Linked DNA regions of Canis lupus familiaris. The protein of the gene in region 3 interacts with the protein of the main gene of each other region in a pairwise test. Links are inferred from orthologs where the notes say so. Each region holds a gene or a part of one and is shown on either strand. Other genes may lie near its edges. The genes, in order: PLN, TMEM86B, BCL2L13 and PLP1.

Region 1 (6,527 bases), on a different chromosome or scaffold from region 3:
AAATAAATATATGAAACTACCTAAGATTACTATAGTGACAGTCAAATATATTGCTAAAGTTTGTAGCCTACAGTTGAAACTGAGATATGCTAAATCTTATTCAGAGTTCAGTAAAAATAAAGATACAATTTGTTTTTTCCTATCCAAGTTCAAGACTACTGAACTCTACCCATAGATTGCAGGTTAAGAATCATCTTCTAAAGGAAAAGAGAAAATAAGCATGCTGACCCTTGAACAACACGGGTTTGAACTGCGTGGGTCCACTTATATGTGGATTTTTTAAAATATATATATATATGCACAATATTATAAATGTATTTTCCTTATGATTTTCTTAACATCTGCCCTTCTCTAGCTTACTTTATCATAAGAATACAGTATATAACACATATACGAAGTACGTGTTCTGTTTTATTAGGGATAAGGCTTCTGGTCAATGATAGGGTTTTAGTAGTTTTTGAGGAGTCAAAAGTTATCTGCAGATTTTCGACGATGTGTGAGGGGGTATCAGCACCCCTACCCCCATGTCAAGGATTGACTGTACTAACACTAAATGGACACTCCATTGCAGGATCTCTAATAGTGAGGACACATACTTCATCCCATTAATCTCTCACAACAAACCCATTCCACAGATAAGGCAACAGGTACAGATTTGAAGCCTCAGTCTATTGCTCAGCAGCTGTCATCTTTGACAAACCACTATAAACCACTCTAGGCTTATATTTTCAACCTAGGTTTATATTACAGTCATCATTGGCAATTGATAATAAGAGATCTTTATTATGTAAGGATTGAAAAACTGCAGCCTTTTGAGCAAAATGTCAAACATTATTCATCCAATTTCTTTAATTTGGGGTTTTATTTTTAAGTTGTAAATTTTCCCTTAGCAACGTTCATGGAGGGTCTTTTGAAATATTTTTTTTTTGTTAGTTTTAGTTGATTCTTTAAATAACAAGAGGTTTGCTTTAGAGAAGGATTTTATCTTTCTTTGGAAGAAGCCAAAACCATCTCCATTTAAGGACACATAAGCAGCTGCTGCACTACATTTTAGTTACCCATAAGAAAGTGAAGCAGGAGGAGCTCACTCTGCTATAAACATTAAAAAAAATTTTAACAAATAGCTCCTCCAGAATTACAGAAGAGATTTAAAAATTGGAATTTGCAGGTGTGTTGATTTAAGAAAATGTAATATGTAGTATAAACAAAAAATCAGAGAAAACAGGAAAATGATGCCTCGTTTTTCCAAAGAATTTTTTTTCCAGTTCTATTCTTATAGATAAACTGTTTTAGGAAGTTCAAATACCATTCCATTTACTAAAACTTTATTTGTATAGTAATTTTCATGAAAACAATTGCTGCATTAAGTGAGGCAATCTTTTTAGAAACTTTATGCACCTTAAATGTAAAACAAAATGCACTTATTTTCAAGAAAGCATCATTAACTAGAATGCCACTGATTAGGAATCTGTGATTATTTCATTTTTACTGTAAAGTTACTTTTGATATTGTCTCCACTTTTTAAAATTTTATTAAGCTTTTATGGTAGTAAAAAAAGATTTTATGGTAGTTTAACACAGCTGTTAAATAAAAAATCTTAAATACTGAAATTTGTAAATTGTAACTATTCTTGGGGTAATATATCAGTTTAAACATTATAATTATTGTTCATAAATATATTGTTAAAGCTCTACCTGAAAAAACACAAATTAATTAAATACATGTATCAGTTCTTACATGCTATGATAAAACTAATTTTTTAAACTGAAAACATTAGCCTGGTTTCCTCACACACACATCCTTTCCCATATAAATATATGAAGACAGAGAACAAAATAAAACAGTGAAAGATATAAAACTTGATTCTGTGAAAATATTTAATTGCTGTATTGTTAGAAGCTAACAGTATGAAACTGCAGTATTAAAGCAACAGCAGCGACAATACAATGAAAGTTATTTGACTAAGCCAATAATATTCTCACTCATTAAAATTCCATATATCTATTTTAGTTCTTCAACATTATCACCATCAGTACACAATTATTTCTAAGCCTGAAGATTCATGAATCTTTAAAGGGAGCTTTCTACCACCCCAAACTTTTTTTTTTTTCATTTATCTCCCATACACTTTTAAAAATTACAAGCAAAAAAATGTGGCACAAAGTGTTAATGACCTTTCCATACTCAAAGTAAGATAAGTGACATTCTAAAAGGTTTGGTTGTGATAAGACTATGGCTAACCAATCATAACTTCAGAATTCTTGTATGACATCATAAGACCTCCCTAGAACACTTTTCCTCCTACACCTACTTCAATTGTTGCCATAAGTCTGGTAACAGAGTCAGAAAACTTTCTAACTAAACACCGATAAGACTTCATACAACTCACAATACTTTATATTGTAATCATCACAAGAGCCAAGGTAAGAAATAGATTTCATTAATTTTGGTAATTCTTGTTTTTCAGAATTCAAAATTACTAAACTTTTTCAAGAGTTAACCATGTTTTGTAAATTTCAGTTCAAAGTTAATAAAATGTGTGATATGACAAAAACTTTAATTTCTAAATAAATGCCTGTTTGGTGACAGTAAGAGCAAGACTTAACTTTGAAATAATAAGGGTCGCATCATCTTTGACCTTGGTTAGTGATTTGTCATTTTAATTTGACTTTCATTTTTGCTTCTGAAAAGTGGATTTTTCCAATTAAAATATCTTTCAATTATGTAACTATATTTGGTGGTAATGGAGATCTTATTCCTTCAAGCAAAAACAATGGCTACATCTTGTTATCTGTTACTGTGCTGAAAAACAGGGTAGGACTGGGCTTCTATTTACATCTGTGATACTATGAACAGTCGTGTGATTGTACAACACGCACACTGCTGGCATGATTATTCCAATATTATCAGTATGATTCTTTACAATAAATATTTAACAGAACTTTTTAAAATATAAAACAAACTAATTTTAAAATGCATTTGAAGACTTTTTCCCTCTCTATAGAGTCCACTCAACTTTTAACACTTCTAAAAATAATTCCAAGATTTAATAAATTCAATTACTTACATGAAATCAAGCTTGGAAATTTTAAAACATCCATTAAAAACACATGTAAAATTCTTTGTAAAGTTAGAGAATACTAATTTGGCACTTTTAAAAAATAAAGACACATTATTTTGGCAGAACATTCCTAAATATCTCATTTTAGTGAATCTGATAAAATGTTTATTCCGCCTATTAATGAATATACTGTTACCAAGTTACTATCCTCCGTGGTTTCTCATTATCCTCTCCTGCATTTTTAAGGGGGAGGGGGGGAACGATGGAGAAGGAAACTTTTCAAATGCCCAGAGATGAAGATGATACATTTTATGACTTCTGTCTGAATTCCACTTACTCTTGATGTTACAATCCTCAGTTTAATATACAAAATGTATCTTCATTCTTAAATCTCTATCAGTCAGGACATAGAGAATCACATCAATTTTATCTCATTTCTATTTTCATATGTATGTCAAAATAAAATTTATCTCTGGAATTCTAAGCTCCTATGATATTAACTCTATTGCTTTTTACAGAAAAGGACTTTGTAATTCCACAAGCAGCTTTCCTTAAGACATGTGAAAACATTTCTAATTTTTGCCTACCACTGAGATACTGTAACCACTTCTCAATATCTTTATATTCATAAAATGTATTTCCTTTGGTATCACATGAAAGTCACTTGGTGCAGGTGTTTTATACACATATTTATGCATTTTTACTCAAATACCTATCAAATTACATTCTCACACTTGAAATGGGATATTCATGAGCTCTTTTATGGTACAAGAATTTCACATCACATATTGCTCCAAAAAGTTGATAATTTCTAGAAAGAGCACAAATTCAGCTATTAAAGTTATTCTTCAATAAATAATGTATACAGGCTAATAAAAATTACAGTGACAGCTCTTCAAATTTCAAACAGAAATACCCTACTGGCAGACTAGTCCCAACTAGTTTATCTCTATCATAGGATGAAATTTAAGCATTGTCTTTGTTTTAAGAAGACAGGAGGTTTAACTTGTTAAAAAAAAAAAGTGAGAGATAAAATAAAATGGAAGAAATATGAAGGATGTTTATGAAAAACTGATTGTTTTAAAAACATGTAAAAGAGCTAAAGTACTTGCTTTACTAAGAAGTCAGTCACTGCCATTTCCTAAAACTCAAGTATCAAAATTATTTTAACAACATTTTAGTGGAAATAATATTCCACTAATATTCTTTAAGGAAAATAATATTCCAGAGAAAAAACCTGTATTTGGTTACATATTTTTATGTATTATTTCTTAATCTCACTAATAAGTTGGAGATAGGGTAGTTATATAAACAAAGTATTTGTATAAATAAAATTTGTATAAAAGAATAAAAATTTTAATGATCATGCAATATATTATGAAATGTGTTAGATCATGTAACATATTAAATTTTTAAGTAAAAATTAAATGTAAAGATTAGATAACTCTCTAAGTTAGACTGTATATTTATTACCAGTCCTAGAAATAAAGTCATTTAAAATTTCCTTCTTTACTCCTGTACAATCTTCTAAATGTACTATTATATACAAAAATTTCATTTGATTCTTTTAACTCCCTGTATGTTTGACACTGCATCTCTTACAATTTCGGAAACAGATGCATAAAGGTGAACTGCAAGGTCACAGAACTAGGAAATGGTGGTGGCCTTGGCTGAAGCCAAGATTTTAGAACTCTAAACCACATGCACATCACATCCACTGATGAACATGGCTTAAAAATACATCATGACATTGGCAAAGCAAAATAAACTGAACGTCCTCAAATAATGTTAGTGGTACTCTAAATGCAAAGTTAGAGGACACAGACCTCTGTATTTTAATTTAAAACCACTCCATTTCATTTAAAGCTAATTTATACATGCAGTGTTATGTCCTTAATAATCTATATAACAGTCTCCTGATCACTTATAAGGACAGAGATAGAAGAAAGTTATAGATGTCCTTGTTGTTATTAAGCAATAGACCATGGAAAGCAAAACTCAAAATAACTGCACAGGCTTTAAAAAAACAATATAACATACCACAATCAACATCTCCTTTTATTTAATTTGTTTCTTTCCTAAAATTCATGTCTTTAATCTATTTAGCCTTGATGCCTAAAAATTAGGTTAACTTCTCAAAACTTTTCACAAAAACCACACTTCTGTACTTTATTCCAATTCCAATATTAAATCCTTACTTCAATTTCACTTCTGGCTTCCCCACATTCTACCACTTAAAATATTCTGCCCCATTTAAGTGCTTGGACAGAGGAATCTTGCTTTGTTATTTATGCTATGAAAATGACTTTCATCTAAACTGTGAATGAAAAATGTTGATCAGAGTAGCAAAGGAATAAACCTAAAGGTTAAAAATCAAGGAAATAATCTTTCTAAATTACAATTACCTAAATCAGGTAATAATACATAGTCTCTTTGAACATGTCCAGAAATTATACTTCAATGTTCTTACCCTATCTAATTCTGAAGCATGTGTTACCAAATAAACACAATAAAGTGAAGCCTGGGCCTACAGCTCCACCCCAGTATACTCATAGTCTACTGAGGACCTCTAGTGATTTTTAAACTGTACTCCACCTTCAGGTCTTTCAAAAAAAAAAAAAAAAAAAAAGACCAATTCACTTATTAGTGGGGATTTATTTAACTAGCGTTCATTTTTCCTTCAAACTTCTCCCCTGCATTCTCTTCCCACATCTTTTTCCCCAAAAGAAGACTCTGAAGTCTCAATGACTACAGAGTAAAAGAAATCTGTAATTGTTAAAAAATTAATTTTAACATAATAAACAGATAAATTAAGACAAGCCTATAGACAAAACAGGAACAGCAATGCGACAATTTCAAAGAGAAAAATCTCTCTATGCTATTGTTTAATGAATTTTCCTCAAGGCAGAGCTTTACAGCAAGGAAAATATTTCATTATGGAGTCAATTTAGGGGTTGAGAATATATTGATTTTTATATTTACACAATTCTTTCCATAACCAGGCAGAAGCAGCCTGAAGATTCTTTCAAATAGCCAGTGTGGACCAACAAAGTTCTGGATATTGCTGCCAAAGCAACTTCAAATAAAACTTTCAAGTTTAGTATTAGGCAATCTCAAAAGGAAAATTATGGGACGCCTGGGTTTATTCATGAGAGACACAGAGAGAGAGAGGCAGACACAGGCAGAGGGAGAAGCAGGCTCCACACAGGGAGCCCGATGTGGGATTCGATCCCAGGACTCCAGGATCACGCCCTGTGCTGAAGGCAGGCGCTAAACCACTGAGCCATCCAGGGATCCCCTAAATATTTTTGAAAAAAGGAAAATTATTCTACCAAATAGAAATTCTGGATACCCACAGACTGATTATAAATCTATGATGAACTGTCCTGACTTAATTCAACAAATCAAAAAAAAATTGCATACACAATCACTTTCAGATATCTGCAAAAAGGACAGTAAATAGTAA
Region 2 (6,547 bases), on a different chromosome or scaffold from region 3:
GTTTCTGGGCAGGAGTGGGGGCAGCACAGACAGCGAGGAAGAGGAGGATGACGACGAGGAGGACGAGGACGACGGTGACGGCCGTGTGGCTGGTGGGGGCGCCGGGCCCCCCTCTTATCCTAGCCCCGGCCCCCAGCCTCCGGGTGGGTGAAGGCACAGGGTGGGATGCAATGGGGTGCCCATGGGGTGTCTGCCTCCGGTGCTCACCCCGCCCCTCCATTCCCTCCCCCCAGGCCCCAGCTGGACAGCCACCTTTGACTCAGTGCCTACAGATGCCCTGACCGGCCCCCGAGACTCTGGGGAGAAGGAGCCGAGCTCTGGGCTCTTTGCCCCACAGGGGTCCCTCAGCATACCCCGGGACCTCCCTGCCTTGAGCCTGGCCGGCCCTGTGGCCTGCACCACCCTGCAGCTCAGGTGAGGCTTCAGGCAGACGGGTACCCAGGTCCCAGTTCACTGAGGCTGGAGTGCTGACCCCCGCTGGCCCTCGGGCTGCTTTTCTTGCCCCCAGGTCTCAGGACCCCGTGTCCCCCTCAGCACCTCAGGAAGCCACAGATGGCAGCAAAGTAGCAGAGCCTTCGGGTGAGCGCTGCCGCCTAGCCCCACCTGCGCTCCCCATTGTCCCCCAGGCTGGTGCACACTTGGCACACTGGGGCGAAGTGCAAGAGTAGCATCACGCTTACTGAGCCTTGTGTTCCCTGGCCTTTCTCTTCACAGCCCCCTGCCAGTCCTTGGTCAGCATTGGGGACCTCCAGGCCACACTCAGAGGGACATGCTCCACCCCCAGCTCCTTGGACAGGTGACTGACTGGGGAGCAGCTGCTTTAGGGGGAGGCAGGTGGAGCCTGGCCCCTGGGTTGTCTCTGCGCCACTCAGGGCCTCCGGGCAGCTGAGGGTCCTGTGCTGTGCCCATACCCACATGTGGGTGCCCGGATCTCCCCAGTCAGCCCCCGGGGGCAAGATGGCTTCCAGAAGGGGATAGACAGTGTGTGGAGCCTGCGTCTCATCCAACCCTGAGCTCCTCCTGCCTGGGGTGGTTCCCAGGGGTCTCTGATAGGAGGGTCTAGCGGAATGTCAGTGATGGTAACCTTACTGATACCCAGCCCACCCCACTCTCAACAGTGCAACCAGAGACCCTGCTACCTCTGTTCCAGCCTCCGGGGCCTGCCAGCACCCCCAGACCACAGAGGGGGAGAAGAGCCCAGAGCCCTCAGGGCTCCCTCATAGCCAGAGGTGAGTGCCGTGCAGCCTCCAGGGTAGCTGGTGTCCTGTGGGGGGAGGCACTGACCTTTCTGTGTCTCTATCTCCTGACAGTGCCCAGGCCCTTGAGCCACCTCCAATGCCCAATGGCTCTGCCCCCGGAGGGCCAGCGTCCCTGGGTTCCCAGTGAGTGGCAAGGGCCATGGGTGGTAGGTGGGCTGGGGCTGCACAGGTGGGTGCTTGGGGGATAGCGGGCTTCTCATATGGGTATCTCTTGGTTCCCAGGTAACTGCCCGGTCCCGGTGGTGGCGGCTAAATCCTCTGTACTCCACATGGACCCTGCCCGAGTGGGGGCAGGGTGGGGCCCATAGTGGCCCTGTTGCCCCATCACCCTGTCCCCACCCTCTCTGCCCCCACATTCTCTCCTTTAGACTCCCAGGAGCCCGGTGCCAGGGAGACAGGCCCCTACCCACCTCCATTTGCACTGAGAAAAGAAATTATGGAGTTTTGTCTCCTAGAATAAAGAAACAGAGTTGAGTAGAGAAAAAGAAGAGAGAGAGAGAGAGAGACCTATATTATATATTATATACAGAGAGAGAGTGGGTGGATGGAGAGCCAGGAGCAGGCCCGGCCAGGCAGGGCAGCTGGTGGGACCTGCTTCCCATCCCGGTGGGGTGGGGGGTGGGGGTGCTGTGTAGGGTCCTGGGGCCGTTGCCCACTCTCCCCTCCCACCATGCCTCCAGCCTCCAGTGCAGATGTCCACACCCACACTTGGTCAGGTCCACCTCGGGGGAGGGCCCGAGTGGGGGCCGTGCCTTTGCCCAAACCCTTGCCCTGGACCCTGCACTTTGACCCTGGCTGGGAGATAAAGGACCCACCTGGCTCTGCTGGCTCTGTGGGAGCTGGCAGTCCCCATCCAGGGGGTTTCTCCGGTGACATTCCCATGGGGCCCTGATGCACTCACTGAGAGCCCCCTCTTGCACCTCCCATGGACCCCGGGGGTGGGGAGTTGGCGGGGGTCTGGCTGGGGTCCCCTTCCTATGCCCAAGGGTCTGGGGTCCAGCCCAGCTGCCAAGTGACCTTGTCCCAGCTCCCTCTCCCCAGGCTGGCGTGAGTGTGCGTGTGTTCGTGCTGAGCTTCTATTTCATATTGCAAATATAAATAAAGACAGTTTAAATTCCTGCTCAGACCATGAGTTCTGGAATCTGGAGTTGGGTGTCCTGAGCTGCCCTTGCACCCTGGCCTCGGGCTTTGAGTTCTGGGATCTGGGGTGGGGGCCTGAGCTGCCCTTGCACTCTGGCCTCTGGCCTTGAATTCTGGGATCTGGGGTCGGTGGTGGGGGCCTGAGCCGCTCTTGTACTCTGGCCTTGGCCTTGAGTTCTGGGATCTGGGGTTGGGGGTTCTGAGCTGCCCTTGCACCCTGCCGTCAGGACCCCAGGCCTTCCCTCAGCCCCTGGGTATGGCCCTCAGAGTGCAGTTTGGCTCCTGGACCTTCATGATTTGCTGAGGGTGGGGTCACTTATGCTCAGACCAGGAAAGGGTGTCCCGGGAGGAGGAGCAGAGCCCTGCCTCATCCCCACAAGCTGTTTTTGGAGTCCCTCCATGCCCCCCAGCCCTGTGTATCCCGGGTCCATACATACCTCCAGTCTTGGTGGGGGTGACATGGCTGGGCGACTTTGCAGCAGTGATGTTCTGAACCTTGTCGCATGTAGTGGAGCGGTGGGTGCCTGTGGGTGGCCAACCCATCGAGATAGGTGGGTACCCAGTAAATCCATTCCTTCTAAACCAGAAGTTGAGCACGGGCCCAGTGCACTTGCAGGTTTGCACAAAAGTCTGTTGGGATGACATGCAACTCAAGCCAGCATGGAGCGATGACTATACAACCCAGCACTTGGCATTTGATCCCTCTGGATTGTCTGTGGACAGATTCTGGGGGCCTGAGGCCAGAGCTGAGGGTAGCGTGAGGTGTGGCCCCCGGGCAGCCTTCTGGGGGACGGTGGGCAGGGACATAGGGAGTTTCCATCCTGCACCTCCAGGCAGAATGGTCCTGCCACCTAAGACCAGGGATGATGGCGCTGCCCTGCTCAGGGGACCCCAGGTGCAGGGGAGGGCATTGATGGCCACGCACCTGTGCCTCCCTTGCCCTCCTGCCACTGCCAGGCAGCCAGGGAGGAAGCCAGGTCTGGTGGGCAGGGTCAGGGTACTGTGGGGGAGGAGGGACCCCTGGGTCCCCCGTGGTTGCCTTATCAGCGGTGCCAGGTGGGGCCATCCCCAGGGCGGGGGCAGCATCTCCTCGGGCCTGTTATCGGTCCCAGAGTCCACAGGACGCTCCTCGGGTTAACGTGTAACCACACACTGTCCCCTCCACCCCCAAAGCCACCCGTGCCCACACACACGCTACTCTGGGTAGTCATAGACCGACATGGACGCCTGGGAAGAGGGTCTGCCGGGAAAGCCTTGCTTCTTAGTCCAAGTGAGATGCCGGGTGTGGGAGGGGGTTAGGCCTGGGTTCTGGGGAACCTGAGCAGCCTGTGGGAATCAGGGGGCCCTGCCCTCTCTGGAGGCTAGACATCCTGGTCCCTGAGCAGAAGCTCCCCGCAACAGACAGCATGACTCTGGTTCCTGGGTTAGGGTGCAGTGGGGCCCCACCACCTAGTCCTGGCTATTGGGGCCTGCCCCCCAGGGGCCCGGAGCTGGCTGGGCTCTAGGGACTCCATGACCCCCTTGTCTCTCAAAGCAGCCACGCCTGTGCTGGTGGTTGAGCCCCTTCTTCCTCACCTGTGCTGTCTACTTCCTCCTCTGGATCCCTGAAGACCAGGTATCCTGGGTCAGCGCCCTCGTCAAGTGCCTGCCTGTGCTGTGCCTGGCGGTGTCCCTGCAGGCTGTGCGAGGGGGCAGGGGCTACCACACACGCCTGCAGGGGGCCCTCCTGTCCTCAGCTGTGGGGGATGCCTGCCTCATCTGGCCTGAGGCCTTTCTCTATGGTGAGTGGGGCCGCACTACGGTTTCTGGACTCCACCTGGACACGAACCCCTGCTCTCACAGAGCCCTTGTTCCCCTAGGGTATCAGGAAGCAGCAGTGCCTTAGGAGGTGGGAGTGGTGTGGAGGGACAGCAAGGAGGGGCTTCAGGTGTAGCAGTCTTGAGTAGCTGGTCAAGGATGGCCTCACCAAGGAGGTAATGTCTCAAGAGTGCAGGAACCACCTGAGGAAGGATGGTCTGGGCAGAGGGACTGGCAAGTGCAAAGGCCCTGGGGTGGGACTGCTGGCAGGTCAGAACAGGTGGGTGGGGAGAGCCGAGTGGGGAGCAGAACACAGGGACAGTTGTAAGCAGAGTGAGGATGGGATGCAGTATGCTGTAAGGAGAGGAGAGCTCTGCATCATGGGGGCTGGTACCATCCCAGCAGATGGGGATGGTGTGGCCAGGGTGCATGCTGCTGCAAGGGGCAGTCCTTTCCTCAGGCTCTGAGCTGCAAGGTGGCCACGTGGGAGCAAGCAACAGGTCCTGTCTCCTCCAGGTGTGGCTGCCTTCACCATGGCCCACCTGCTCTACCTCTGGGCCTTTGGCCTCACTCCCCTGCGGCCAGGCCTCCTGCTGCCCGTCGCCCTGGTCTCCGTCCTGTATTACGGCCTCCTGCTGCTCCACCTCCCAGCCAGCATGGTCCCGGCCCTGGCGGCCTATTCCTTGGTCCTGGCCTCCATGCTGTGGCGCGGCCTGGCCAGAGGTGGGACCGTCTGCTGGGGTGCCCTGCTCTTCACGCTCTCGGATTCAGTGCTGGCCTGGGATACCTTCGTCCAGCCACTGCCCCACGCCCGCCAGGTGGTCATGACCACCTACTATGCTGCCCAGCTCCTCATCACCCTGTCAGCCTTCCAGAGCCGCAGGCTCAAGACCACCTGACTGGGGTGGCAACATCCTGGGGCTCCCAGACCGGCCCCACCACTTGACACGGTGAGAACCGTATGTGGAAATCCACGTCTGTTGCCAAGGCCCTGCCACCTTCCCTCTGTTCTGACTCTGGATTCCAGACCCTACCCCCACAGCCTCTCACCTGCCTCCACCTGCCCTCCTCTCCTCGGCCCTGATCTATTTTGTGCCCAAGTAAAGTGGACACTAAAACAGTCACATCTCTGTTATGTGGGGGAGGAGTGCTAACAATACCAGTAAATGTTATTTTTTTCTTTGTTTTTGTATTTTTTATTATCGTTATTTTTTAAATATTTTATTATTTATTCATGAGAGACATAGAGAGACGCAGAGACACAGGCAGAGGGAGAAGCAGGCTCCCTGCAGGGAACCCGATGTGGGACTCAATCCCAGGACCCCGGCCGGGATCATGCCCTGAGCCAAAGGCAAATGGTCAACCACTGAGCCACCCAGGTGACCCTCTTCTTTTAATTTTTAAAAAAGATTATTTATTTAGAGCGGTGGGGAGGGACAGAGGGAGAGGGAGGAGAGAGAATCCTCAAGCCAACTCCCCACAGAGTGTGGAGCCAACATTGATGCTTGTTCCCAGGACCCTGAGATCACAGCCTGAGCTGAAAACAAAAGTCGAATGCCCAACTGACAGAGCCACCCAGGTGCCCCCCCCCCCCTTTTTTTTTTTAAGCAACGGAGCATCATTTTAACCATTTTTATTTTTATTTTTTTTATTTTTATTTTTTTAAAGATTTTATTTATTTATTCATGATAGTCACAGAGAGAGAGAGAGAGAGAGGCAGAGACACAGGCAGAGGGAGAAGCAGGCTCCATGCACCGGGAGCCCGATGTGGGATTCGATCCCGGGTCTCCAGGATCGCGCCCTGGGCCAAAGGCAGGCGCCAAACCACTGCGCCACCCAGGGATCCCATTTTAACCATTTTTAAATGTATGATTCAGTGCCATCAGGTAAGTACATTCACTGTGCTGTGCACTGAATGTGTTTTTATGATCATTCCCCTGATAGAAACACTGAGCTGGACCCTCATAACACCACATGTACAGAATAGAGTTGCTGACCATGGGCAGGCCTGGCACCCTGGGCTTAAGGAAGGTGGAATTCCCCCAACGTCCCCAGGTCAAAGTGGGTCCACCCCGTCCTCCACCCCCAGCAGTGACCTCTACACAGCAATGACAGCAGGAGAGGTGCCTAACAAGGTCATCTTTCACAGGCGGCCCGAAAGGGGTGAGTTTTAGGGTTTGGAGGAATATTAAGAAGTGGAGTCACCATTCTGTGCGTGCTAAGCAAGCATGAGGTTGCCCACGAGCACGTAGGAGACATGTCTGTACACACGCACATTATGCTAATGATGCTTATGCCCACCTTTTTTGCGTTTAGGGACTCTTTTTTTTTTAAGATTTTATTTATTCATG
Region 3 (4,860 bases):
GTGTGTGTGTGTGTGTGTGTGTGTGTGTCATGAATAAATAAATAAAATAAAAATCTTAAAAAAATAAAAACCAAAGTTTTTGGTCTTGATTGAAGAATAGTTATTCTACTTCATACAAATAGCAGCTATAATTACAAAAGAAAATAGGAATTAATTTGCTTTACAGAATCCTATTCAGATTCTCTGTGGCATTTCTGAAAGTCATCCAGATTTTTTGTAAAACTTTCAGTAGGTCCCTGTGAACATTACACTCCATTGGTTCTGCCCCTCACCCCCACCTTTTGAAAATACTTTATTTTTCTAAAGTAGGCTCCACACCCAGCATGGGGCTTGAACTCATGACTTCAGGATCAAGTGTCACATGCTCTACCGACCCAGCCAGCCAGGCGCCACTCCTCTTCCTGCCTTCCTGATCACACTGTAACCTCTGGGGTCCCATACTGTCCTGTGTGTATTCTGTCTTAAGGCTTTCTGAATCACATGGAAATTAATTAGCTATTCATATGTCAGTCTTCACATCTAGACAGTGAGTTTTTAAGAACAAAAATTGAGTCTCCTCTCATTCTTCCTTATAACGCTGGTGCCTGACATGGTACCTAATAAGCAATAAACACCTGCTGGATCCTGTTGAACTAAACTGCTAAATGTGAAAATGAAGACTGCCATTATTTATTTTTATTACTTTGGTGTAAAGAAAGAAGAGTCCTGCATTTCTGGCATCCCTCAGGCTACTACTCTCCAGTAATTTTATTTTATTTATTTTTTATTTCTTTAAATATTTTATTTATTTACTCATGAGAGACACAGAGAGGCAGAGACATAGGCAGAGGGAGAAGCAGGCTGCTTGCAGGGAGCCTGATGTGGGACTGGATCCCAGGACCCCAGGGATCATGACTTGAGCCAAAGGTAGCTGCTCAACCACTGAGCTACTCAGGCGTCCCTCCAGTAATTTTAAAGTGGAGCTGTGACTGTCATTGTGCAGCTGCAAGATTTCATGGACTAACCATTTCCTATTGAATAAAGTCCATATTTCTTAGCTTTCTGTCAGGTTTTCCAGGATCAGTCCTTTCCCCAACTGAACTTTCTATTCTTCATGTACACTGCGCACTGCTTAAACTGAGTTACTCTTTCCCTCTTATATTTCTGTGCTTTTGCTGGTGCTGTGTCTCCTGCATGGCTTTCCCCATGGAATCTGACCCATCCTTCAGAAACCTAGTATAAACGCTGGTTTCTCCAAGTAGTTCTGTCATCTGCTTGCCTGCTACAACCTTCACTGAAAGAAGTCCACGTCTCCCCATCTGAACCCTTACTAGTACTTGGACTGTGGGATAGCATTGCCCTACTAAGTGATAAATTCCTTGAGAGCCTCTGTTTTCCCTGCTGCTTTGCATTAATTATTGCATCAAATATAAATACATTGAGTTAAATATGGAAATCAAATTTTGGTTTTTTAGTTTCAAGGAAACTGGTTAGAGGAATGGATTGTTAAAAATTCTTCCTCTGCAGTGATCTACAAGTAAATGCATTCAATCCAGAAACTAGGTAGGCTTAAACAATGTATTTAGTCCTAGCACTTCAGTTTAGGAGAGAATTTTTTTTTTTTTAAGATTCTATTTATTTATTCATGAGAGACACACAGAGAGAGAGGCAGAGACACAGGCAGAGGGAGAAGCAGGCTCCATGCAGGGAGCCCGATGTGGGACTCGATCCCGGGTCTCCAGGATCACACCCTGGGCCGAAAGCGGTGGTAACCGCTGAGCCACCCGGGCTGCCCTAGGAGAGAATTCTTTTTTTCCAGATTTATATTTATTTTACTTTAGTTATTTTTTAAAATATTTATTTATTTATTTATTTATTTATTTATTTATTTATTTATTTATTTATTTTAGAGAAAGAGAGAGTGTGCAAGCAGGAGAGGCAGAGGGAGAGGGAGAGAGAGAACCTCAAGCAGATTATGTGCCGAGCTTGGAGCCTGACACAGGGCTGGATCCCATAGCCCGGAGATGACTACCTGAGCTGAAACCAAGAGTCAGATGCTCAACTGACTGAGCCACCCAGGCACCCTCAGATTTATATTTGTTTTAAATGTAGTTTCCATTCTTTGTATTGACTCTCCTCTTCCTTTTCTAGGGCACTGTCTTTAACCTTGAGTCAGAGGACGAAGAATATCCTGGAGTCATTGCAGAGGATAGCAACGACATTTATATCCTGCCCAGTGACAACTCTGGACAAGTCAGTCCCCCAGAGTCTCCTACTGTGACCACTTCTTGGCAGTCGGAGAGCTTACCTGTTTCACTGTCTGCCAGCCAGAGTTGGCATACAGAAAGCCTCCCTGTGTCCCTAGGTCCTGAGTCCTGGCAGCAGATTGCAATGGATCCTGAAGAAGTCAAAAGCTTAGATAGCAACGGGGCTGGAGAGAAAAGTGAGAACAACTCTTCTAATTCTGACATTGTTCATGTGGAGAAAGAAGAAATTCCTGAAGGTGTGGAGGAGGCTGCTGTGGCATCTGTTGTCTTGCCAGCCAAGGAGCTGCGGGAGGCACTCCCCGAAGCACCAGCTCCCTTGCTTCCGCATATCACTGCCACTTCCTTTCTGGAGATGAGGGAGCCTGACACAGAAGAGATGACAGTGGAGAAAGTCAGCCCTGCTACAACTTTGTTGGTGGAACTTGGTGAAGAAGAGAACTTGATGAAGACAAAAGCAGCAACGGTTGAATCTGTTCAACTGGAAGAGGAAGTGATCCCCGTGCTGGAACCCTCAGAAACACTGCTGAGTGAAGAGGAGATACATGTGAGGAGAGAGGGTCTTCGGGAAGTCCCCTCCCCTGCTGGAGAAGAGAAGGCCATCCCACTGTTTGAGGGCAAGTCTATACTGCTGTTTGGAGGGGCCGCTGCCATTGCCATCCTGGCAGTGGCAGTTGGAGTAGCACTGGCTCTAAGAAAGAAATAGCAGATTTTTCAAAAGAAGACAAAAAAGATGGAAGATGGAAGATTTTAGCTGTACTGACTGAATTTGAATCACCAACAGCTGATTTGGACATTTGTGGAACAATCTTGGATAATGGGGGGCTTCTGCTTAATAAGGCAGTACATTGATCCACATGATAGAGCTTCAGGTAGAGGGCATCCATGTTTGTCTGATTGTAAGTTCCAAGGGCCTTGGCTAATGCCAAATTCGGAATCCACGTAAAGTACTCCTTCCAGAACAGGGTTTCTCAACCTTGGCATTAATGACATCATGATTAATTCTTTGTTGTAGGAGGTTGTCCTGTGCACTATAGGTTGGTCAGCAACATCCCTGGCCTCTACCCGCTAGATAGCAGTAGCACCCTGCCCTCAGTTGTGACGACCAGAAATGTCTCCTGACATTGCCAAATGTCCCCTGGGGGCAAAATTGTTCCTGTGGAGAGCCCCAGCTTTAGAAGGGAAAGGGTTAACTTAGGAGAACCTAGGACAGAAAGTCCCAGGCAAGAGGGCTTAGCTGCAGGCTCCTCAGCTACTGAGTCGTTCCTGCCCTTGGGATTTCATCTTTCCTGATGAATATGCTGTATTTCGCAGCCATTCCTCTGTGGCTCTTCTTTTCTTGCCCACCTTCTCAGGCCCGTAGTGTGAGGGTGCTCCCCTTCTGTCTCATCTGCCTCTCAGGTACTGATTGCTCCTCTTCACCCCCAGGTTCTTTGTAAAGTCACGTGGGAGAGTGCTTTCTCTGTGTCCGCTAAGTCCCTCATGCTTCCTACAGCTCCACCTTGTAAAGATGTTGCCTTCGGTCATCTTTAAAAACATAAATAGAAAAGAGGCCTAGGGTTCCCTGCCTGTGAATGCAAGCAAGGGCAAGTAACTGCTAGGGAGCAGGTGTTTGTCTCATTGTCAAGCAGGGGGATGGATGACTTAGATGGCCTATTGCGGTCTCTTCTGGCCCTTTTGTGTAATGGCCACGCTACTGAGCTTATGGTGACTTGCTGGCAGCATCTGTTGCTGGATGGTCACTATCTGTAATCTGGCCTCAGTCTTCTTAAGAGTCAACTAGCTTTTCTGCGGTCTCTTGCCATGTGATAAGGATTTTCATACTTGGGCTTACAGACCAATTGAATCATAACTCCTATTAAATACAGAAAGTCTCCCAAATACCATTGAAATAAAAAGTAGGAAAAGAGAAGCTTGAATTTCTTGAGCCTACTACCCTCGAGATTCTAGTGTGGCTTTCAGAGTTCAGGAATAAGATTTCTTCCCAGAACTCTTTACAGTCCAAATGCCAGAGTGATAAACCAAAATAACTCTAATCAGTAAGTGCTAGTTGAGAATCAGAATAACTTTCTTTCATCAGGCCGATCCCATCCCTAAAAGGGGGTGGGAGTGTGTCTTCTCATGCCTGAGGATCAGTGTGTCACTGTGCAGGACACACATGCTTGACACAGGTCATCTCAGATCTTAGTAAATGTAACAAATTACTTTTTTAGATCCTGAAATTTGTAATAAAATTACTTTACTATCCTGATCACCAAAACTTGATGTTTTATTTTTTTTATTTTTATTTTTTTAAACTTGATGTTTTAAATGTTTTTTTTTTTTTTTTTCAATTTATTTTTAAAAATGAAATGTTCTCCCTAAAGCAATACTATTTAAAAGTTGGTCGAGGAAAGGTCTAAAATGTGTTTGGTCAGCTTCATCATGCAGTTGTATCTTTATGTTCTGAGTTTTAGTGTCTTAGGGAGTGATATTTAAAGGGTTTTGGTGCACTTTGATTAGGATAGCTAGAGGTGAGGTGGGGGAAATGGGATTAATGTAGTAAAGATTGTTTTCCTCCTTGGTCTCTGACAGTTGGCTCTGACACTGGGGTTACTCTGTTCTAATTGCTACTTTC
Region 4 (6,591 bases), on a different chromosome or scaffold from region 3:
TTGATTGGGGCCTATACCAGTTGACAGGGCCAAGATGCTAAAGCAACCGTGACTGGTACTGGGGATAGATGGGGATCAGTGGGTGGGTTCTAGGAGTAAAACAACAATCATCAGGAGGTACCAGAGACAAAGACTTTTGCTTCTGGCCTTATTCTGGTCAGACAAAGCCCTGCCTGTAATATTGTCCTCTCTATGTGAAATCAGCACTTATACCACATTCAAGTGGTGGAAAGGGGCCCTAGAGCCACTAGGACATGGGAATCCAAGCCTGATGGATAGTCAAGTCCTATGGATAAATTTAAATGAAAAGGAATCTCAGCCTATTCGTTGTACTGATATTATTATTACTATAACAACAGCATTTGGGCCAACTTGTTTCCTATACTCCCCACTTCACCCCAAACACACACACACACACACACACACACACACACACACAGATGCCAATATATACCCAAACATTGAGAGGTTTGAATAGAACCTTGATTATTAAACTCTATCCCTGACATATTGTCTTCATCTTGCCCAATTATGCAGAGGTAAAAGAGAAGCACCTGACAATAAGCTAAAAGACAACATTTTCTATACCTTCTTCCTTAGGTCACTCTCTTACCATTTCCTTCTCTCTCCTTGTTTGCAGTGTGAAGCTGATCTGGGAAACCTTGTTCTCTTCCTTGGGATGTCACTGATTCTTTTCCAGAGCTCTGCCTAGCAGAGAGCTCAGAGGCAAATACAGAGCTGAGAGATCACTCTTAGGACCATTTTCAAATAACCAAGGAGGAATTAATTAATCAGTACTTGCAGAGTGTTTGAGGTAAGTTTGGCACTCGGGAGGCCCTAACAATGGGAAAGAAAGGAAAATCTACTCTGTTTCCCTTCCATGCTGACGTGACCTTATCTGATCGTGCCACTGCCCTGACTTGATCTTCTCTAGATCTGAAGTTCTGTAGGCAAGGAGGGCATTTCTACAGTTGCTTTCTTTAAAGACCAAAAACTACACCCTGGGGATGGTTTTCAGGGCTTCAAGATAACACAAAAAAAGGCAACGAGGGGAAAAGATGCCACTGGCTGGGTGCCAGTGCTTTGATGGATTTAAACACTATATGTCCCTTCCCACCCATCTCTCAGGGGTTCTTAGACCTTATTACTACTCACATAGTTTTGATAGAGTAGTTCTAGTAATCAAGCTCTTGAGTAAACTTCCAGGTTTCATAGCCCAGAGCCAGGGCAAAAGCTCCTCTAAGCAGAGCAAGCATTTCAGTCTGCCTGGCTCTCTAAGAGTTTCTCTGGCTCTGCAGAGCCAAGGTGGGGAATGGGGTGGGGAAGGCTGTCAATATCATTTTAGTCATTGTCTGTAGGAAGAGTGAGTATGCTGTTTTGGATCTGGTATTCTTGTGGCATTTTCTGCTCTTGGCATTCTTGTGGCATTCTTGCCATCCTGGTGGGATTCAGTTAGTCTGCCAAAATTTTGTAAAACTGGACCCCTGCTTTGTATCCACACTTCTTTCTTTTCTGGGCTACCCTCACTTAGTCTGTACCAGACAAAACTACACTGCTCAGCAAATAGCCACCTTTAGAGGGAAGCATCACAGTCTGGTTACCAGGGTAACAGCCACTGTTCTCAGACAACAGGCTTGCAGGATCCAATGTTTTGCTGTTCAGTAATGGCATTGTGTTACTGAGCAGAGAATAATCAGATACTGCTCTTTAACTCTTTTTCAGTTCCATTGTTATCCCAAAGGCTCATTTGGAACATCCCCTTCCCAAGTCAGGACAAGGTTTAATGAATTATCATTTCCCCCATAAACCTTTTATATAGACAATACTGAATTCAGTGTTCCTCTCTGCTTCCCATCCTACAGGATTCTATGTGGTTGAGGTAGTGAGCTCTCTGTTTCTGGGGGTGATTAAGGAGAGGCCATAGGAACATTTAATTGGCTGCTATAGAAAAGAATTTTGCCTTGAGAGTTGGCTGAGGCAGCTTCTAAAGTTCCTTCCAGGGATCCCTGGGTGGCGCAGCGGTTTGGCGCCTGCCTTTGGCCCAGGGCGCGGTCCTGGAGACCCGGGATCGAATCCCACATCAGGCTTCCGGTGCATGGAGCCTGCTTCTCCCTCTGCCTGTGTCTCTGCCCCCCCCCCCCGTGACTATCATAAATAAATAAAAATTTAAAAAATAAATAAATAAATAAAGTTCCTTCCAATCCCAGATTCCATGATATAATTTGTCTACTACAATCGTTAAACAGCCATGTGCTCCATGTTTGGAGTGCACTCCTTGTTAGATATGTTCTATTATTTACAAAGTACTTAAGATACTTTGTTACCAAATAATTGAAAACTCAATGACTACACTCTCATGTGCACCTGGCCCAAAGATTGTCCACCTCCAAAATCTGGGATCCAATATACAATCTCAACTGTGCCCTTATCTGTGGCAATCTCCCTTGGAGATTCCCCTGGAAACAATCATCCAGCCTCCATAACAGGGAACTGTCCCTGTGGTCACCTCATTTGTTCCTGCCTTTTCCTCACAGCTCTCATCCCCTGAGGAAGTAATATTCAGCATCGTTCTCTACTCCCTCTCCATTTTTTTAAATTCACAATCTACTTAATCAGCTGCCCTGACATTACATAGGGTTCCTGATGTCACCAAGCGTAGGAACTTAGTTCCTCTAACATTCACCTCTCACCTGGCTACACTCGGTCAAATGATTTTTACCCAAGTGCACAAAATATACACAAAGAAAGCCCAAACCACTTTGGAAAGATTAAGAGTCAGCTTATACATGTGTTATTGTATAATGATTGGTATTATCATTATCTAAAATTGTTATAGAGTTTTCCCATTTTTACATCCACATCATTATTACTTGATTTTTACAACCCTGAAAGTAGACAAAGCAACTATTTTTATCCCCATTTTCCATATGATAAAGTGATAATTCACTGTGACCTACCCAAGGTCATGAAGTTCATAAGTGGCAGATCTGGGATTTGAACCTGGTTGTGTTGATTCTAATCCAGTGCCCTCCTCTCTTAATTTTCCATGCAAAACACATGATTCAAAGATCTCCCTCAGGATGAAACAATCTAAAGGCTGACACCAGCTTAATATAATCAAAAACCTTTTTCCATGGATGTTGCTGGAGTCTTCTGGGTACTACATATGATGGTGAATACACAGGACAATTAATTCTCACTTCATTTAGGATGCATTCAAGCTGCTATTCTTTTGCCAAATGTGAGTGTTGTCTACATGTCTCCATGGCATCCTGTGTGGACAAAGATCCTTGTGCTCTGTATATCTTACTCTAAGTAGACGCTACCAAAGACCAGACCTTATAGCTTCTGTCTTTGTTCATAGAACCTGGAGAAGCCTTCAGTACTCAACCAAGTCGGTAAGAGTGCTAATGTCCCAGCAGCTTCCTTGTCATAGGAGGAATTTAGAGTCTGAATCATGTCCTTTGAAAGGCTAAGTCTGTGATTTTTGCTAGATATGGTCACCCATATATGTATGTGTGCGTTTGCATGCACGTACACATATGCTACCCATATTGACTCCCCATGGTAAAGCCACTGAGGCCTTTATTTTCATTTCCTGGACCTGAGATTGGCCTTCTCACCCATAGCCAAGCCTGAGTTCCATCTTGCCCAATTCCCCAATTTCCTTCTGATGCTAAACAGGGTCCAAATTTTTTATCAAGCAAGCAGTTATTTTATACATCTGAGGGCTAGCCAACACTCATTTGTCTCCAGAAGAACCAGGGTTGTCAGCTGACCCAGCCATTACTAGGGCCTGAGAACAGGGGAAAAGAGAAGGTAGAAGTGAGGGGGTAGGAGGACACATGACCACATCCAACCCTCTGGGCACTCTCTCCAAGGACCTATGGTACTCTCCACGTGCTGCTGGAGTTCTTTGGCAATAAAGCTACATTCTCAGTACAGCAGAGAAAGGGTTAACCTAATTGAGTGCTAAAGAATTAAATAAAACAAGTGCCAAAAACACAACTCATTGAAACCATTGGAAACCCCAAGCCCTAGAGTTGGAAATTCTCTTGCAAATTTCTGTGCCTGCTTGAATCTTCCATGCTAAAGTCTTTGAAACTCACCCATGTCTTTGGAACTCTGACTCCAATTGTAGCCAGCTGGCTAGTCTGCTTTGCTGCTGACTTTGTTCAGCTGGAAGGATCCTGGTCTCTCCAGTCTCCTTCTTCGGTCCTCTACTTTTTCTCTCTGAGTATCTTTGTCCTCTTCTCCTGCAATGAAAAGGGCTTTCTGATTGACAGCCAACCCCCTTAAAGAGACAGGCCTGCTTTCCTCCTCCTCTCCTCCTCCCCTTCTCCTCCCCTTGTCCCCACCTCCTTAGGGATACTCCCTTCTCTAAGGGCTCCATCTTCTTTTTCTGCTTTTAACTGAAAATTGTTTCATTTTCTGTTTTTCTCCTTTTCTCTAAGCCTTGTCTGTGTGGAATTTCACTTTGCTGCAGAGACATCTGGAAATGTGGTTTGGGGTAAAAATAAAAAAGAGGTCCTGGAAGCCTCCAACTGATGCTTGGGTCTATTTGGTATGGGATATGACAGCACAAGTGTCAGAAGCCATGGAAGTTGTAGCCCTGGCCAAAGGGTCAGGGTCAGAAACCTAGCTGTTATTCCCAGAGTCCTTCCAACTCTGCCCCAACCCCACCCCTCACTCTTAGCTTCTCTTGGCCCTGTCCACCTTTCTCCTCCCCCTACTTCTTGGCAAAGAAGCATCCCTCACCCTACCCAGCAATAGAATCACAATAGAGAAGAAAAAAATTGTCTTTTAAAATAATTCCTTCCAAATCTTTCTTGGTTTCAACTGAATGAGGACAAAACACAAGCTGTTGATTCCATAAACAGATTTTGACCACGCTGGGGGAGGCTACAATTGTAAAAATTGTATAGATAGAATAACAGAGACCCAGAGAGAAGACAAGACCTATGCATGTTCACAGAATAAGGTAAAGAGGTCATTTAGGGATGTGGGTGATTTCCAAGGAGTTTAATTGACTTTGAGACAAATCACTAACACAATCTGGGAATCAGGTAGTCAATATCCCATCCTGAGACTGTAGTGTCATAAAAGAGCTAAGGCCAGGCTGGTGAGAGGCAGAGAGCAAGTTGGGGTGAGGCAGCAGCTGTCAATGAAGGTGGAGAGAAGGGGAAAAGAATTAAAGTGCTTGCCTCAGAGAAAAAAAAAACACTAAGAAAAAATGGCCAAAGAAGCAAAAACAGGGGAACAATATATGAAATCTGCCCTGACAATAATACATGTTTCTAAAGACTGTGAAGATATTTGAGTGCCTAATATTAGGTGAGATTAGCCAGGGAAGGTTTTCTAGAAGAGGTGAATCTTAACCAGTGTCTATGTAGGCTCCTTGTTTGTGTTCCCTTCCCTTCAAGTGCCTCAGAGGAACACCATTCTCTCGATCCTGAGGGCCATATTCTCCCACAGGTAGCCTATAAGGAAACTGGTTGGCATATAATTTAAGGAGTACTTGTTGGAAGACTCTGGGGAAGAAGATATGACCCCTTCCTCATCACCATCAAAATTTCCCTATAGCTTTGCCTTGGGGATAGAGAGGAGAAGAAGGAGATACTGAACAGAGCCTACAATCATCCTGGGGGAGGGGGGAGAGGCAAGATTGAATCTTACAGTTTTCTCTTTGGGCTGTGACCTTGGACCATGTTTCTGGCTTGGGCATTGCTATTAGGAAGTGGTTGAGTCTTCTATAGATGCCCCTGTGGCTTCACCCAGGTCCTGAATCCCACCCAAAGAGAAAGGGTCCTTGGAAATGCCTCTTTTGCAGAAGTATATAGTGGCAGTTTTGCAGATCAGACTAGAATAAGACCACATGACTGATGGTAGAAGCTCCCAGGACTCCTGACCTCGCTATACCTGCTCTCCAGTCATAGACTCTGCCTGTTGAGGAAGCTGGGCTGTAGGATTTTGCCAACAATTAACTTCTGGATGATCATTATCAGAATAGCCCTGGAAGAGAGGGAGGACCAAAAGCAAGAAGTCACCAAATGGGTGCCCTCAGCTCCTCAGATGGCAGAAGGAACTGAGTCCAAACTTTGGGATTCTGATTTAGGCAATGAGAGAGATGGTTTTTCATGGCTCAGATAGAAAAGACAGCTCTGCATGCAGGGGAAATTGCTCAGGCTGAGCCTCCTTACAAATCTGCCCTTGAACTTTCAGCAGCAGCTCTGGGGAATGTTAGGCTACTTGGAAGAAAATATTTGTTCCCAGTAAACTCACAAACATCAATTTTTCAACCACATTTTTCTTCTCTTTTCCTTCATCTCTAGCACTTTACTTTAGCATTCTGTCCTTTCCCCAAGTCTTAATCTCTCCATCTCTGCTGTTTGACTGCCTGTCTCTCTGTCTCTCTTTTTCTCTCTCCACACTCTTTGATGGACTATGTCTTCCTGTCTCCACCTTGCTTTTAGGTCCAAGGATGGGAAAGGGGCTCAGCCTGGTCATGCTCACAGTACCTTAAGGTTCCACCTCCCTAGGATCTAGTATGTTGTAGTCACTCCGGATGTCTTGACACAGTGCTTTAGCACC

What was found.
Region 1: the proteins of BCL2L13 (region 3) and PLN interact in binary tests that used the Homo sapiens proteins (3 or more experiments, as listed by UniProt). The two-hybrid records come from large-scale screens. The link is inferred for Canis lupus familiaris from reciprocal best matches to the Homo sapiens genes BCL2L13 and PLN.
Region 2: the proteins of BCL2L13 (region 3) and TMEM86B interact in binary tests that used the Homo sapiens proteins (3 or more experiments, as listed by UniProt). The two-hybrid records come from large-scale screens. The link is inferred for Canis lupus familiaris from reciprocal best matches to the Homo sapiens genes BCL2L13 and TMEM86B.
Region 4: the proteins of BCL2L13 (region 3) and PLP1 interact in binary tests that used the Homo sapiens proteins (3 or more experiments, as listed by UniProt). The two-hybrid records come from large-scale screens. The link is inferred for Canis lupus familiaris from reciprocal best matches to the Homo sapiens genes BCL2L13 and PLP1.

The regions. Positions count from the first base shown.
Region 1 is NC_049222.1:59,135,397-59,141,923, forward strand, and holds the start of PLN (cardiac phospholamban), read left to right. Parts: upstream 1-2,340; 5' UTR 2,341-2,423; intron 2,424-6,527. UniProt on the Homo sapiens protein: Reversibly inhibits the activity of ATP2A2/SERCA2 in cardiac sarcoplasmic reticulum by decreasing the apparent affinity of the ATPase for Ca(2+).
Region 2 is NC_049222.1:103,190,571-103,197,117, forward strand, and holds TMEM86B (lysoplasmalogenase), read left to right. Parts: upstream 1-2,538; 5' UTR 2,539-3,618; coding exon 3,619-3,669; intron 3,670-3,933; coding exon 3,934-4,180; intron 4,181-4,712; coding exon 4,713-5,095; 3' UTR 5,096-5,316; downstream 5,317-6,547. Other genes in the region: PPP6R1 (serine/threonine-protein phosphatase 6 regulatory subunit 1), read left to right, coding at 1-143, 234-414, 509-579, 715-796, 1,119-1,229, 1,311-1,382, 1,482-1,485. UniProt on the Homo sapiens protein: Catalyzes the hydrolysis of the vinyl ether bond of choline or ethanolamine lysoplasmalogens, forming fatty aldehyde and glycerophosphocholine or glycerophosphoethanolamine, respectively and is specific for the sn-2-deacylated (lyso) form of plasmalogen.
Region 3 is NC_049248.1:697,186-702,045, reverse strand, and holds part of BCL2L13 (bcl-2-like protein 13), read left to right. Parts: intron 1-2,130; coding exon 2,131-2,949; 3' UTR 2,950-4,860. UniProt on the Homo sapiens protein: May promote the activation of caspase-3 and apoptosis.
Region 4 is NC_049260.1:77,738,734-77,745,324, reverse strand, and holds the start of PLP1 (myelin proteolipid protein), read right to left. Parts: upstream 4,219-6,591; 5' UTR 4,114-4,218; coding exon 4,110-4,113; intron 1-4,109.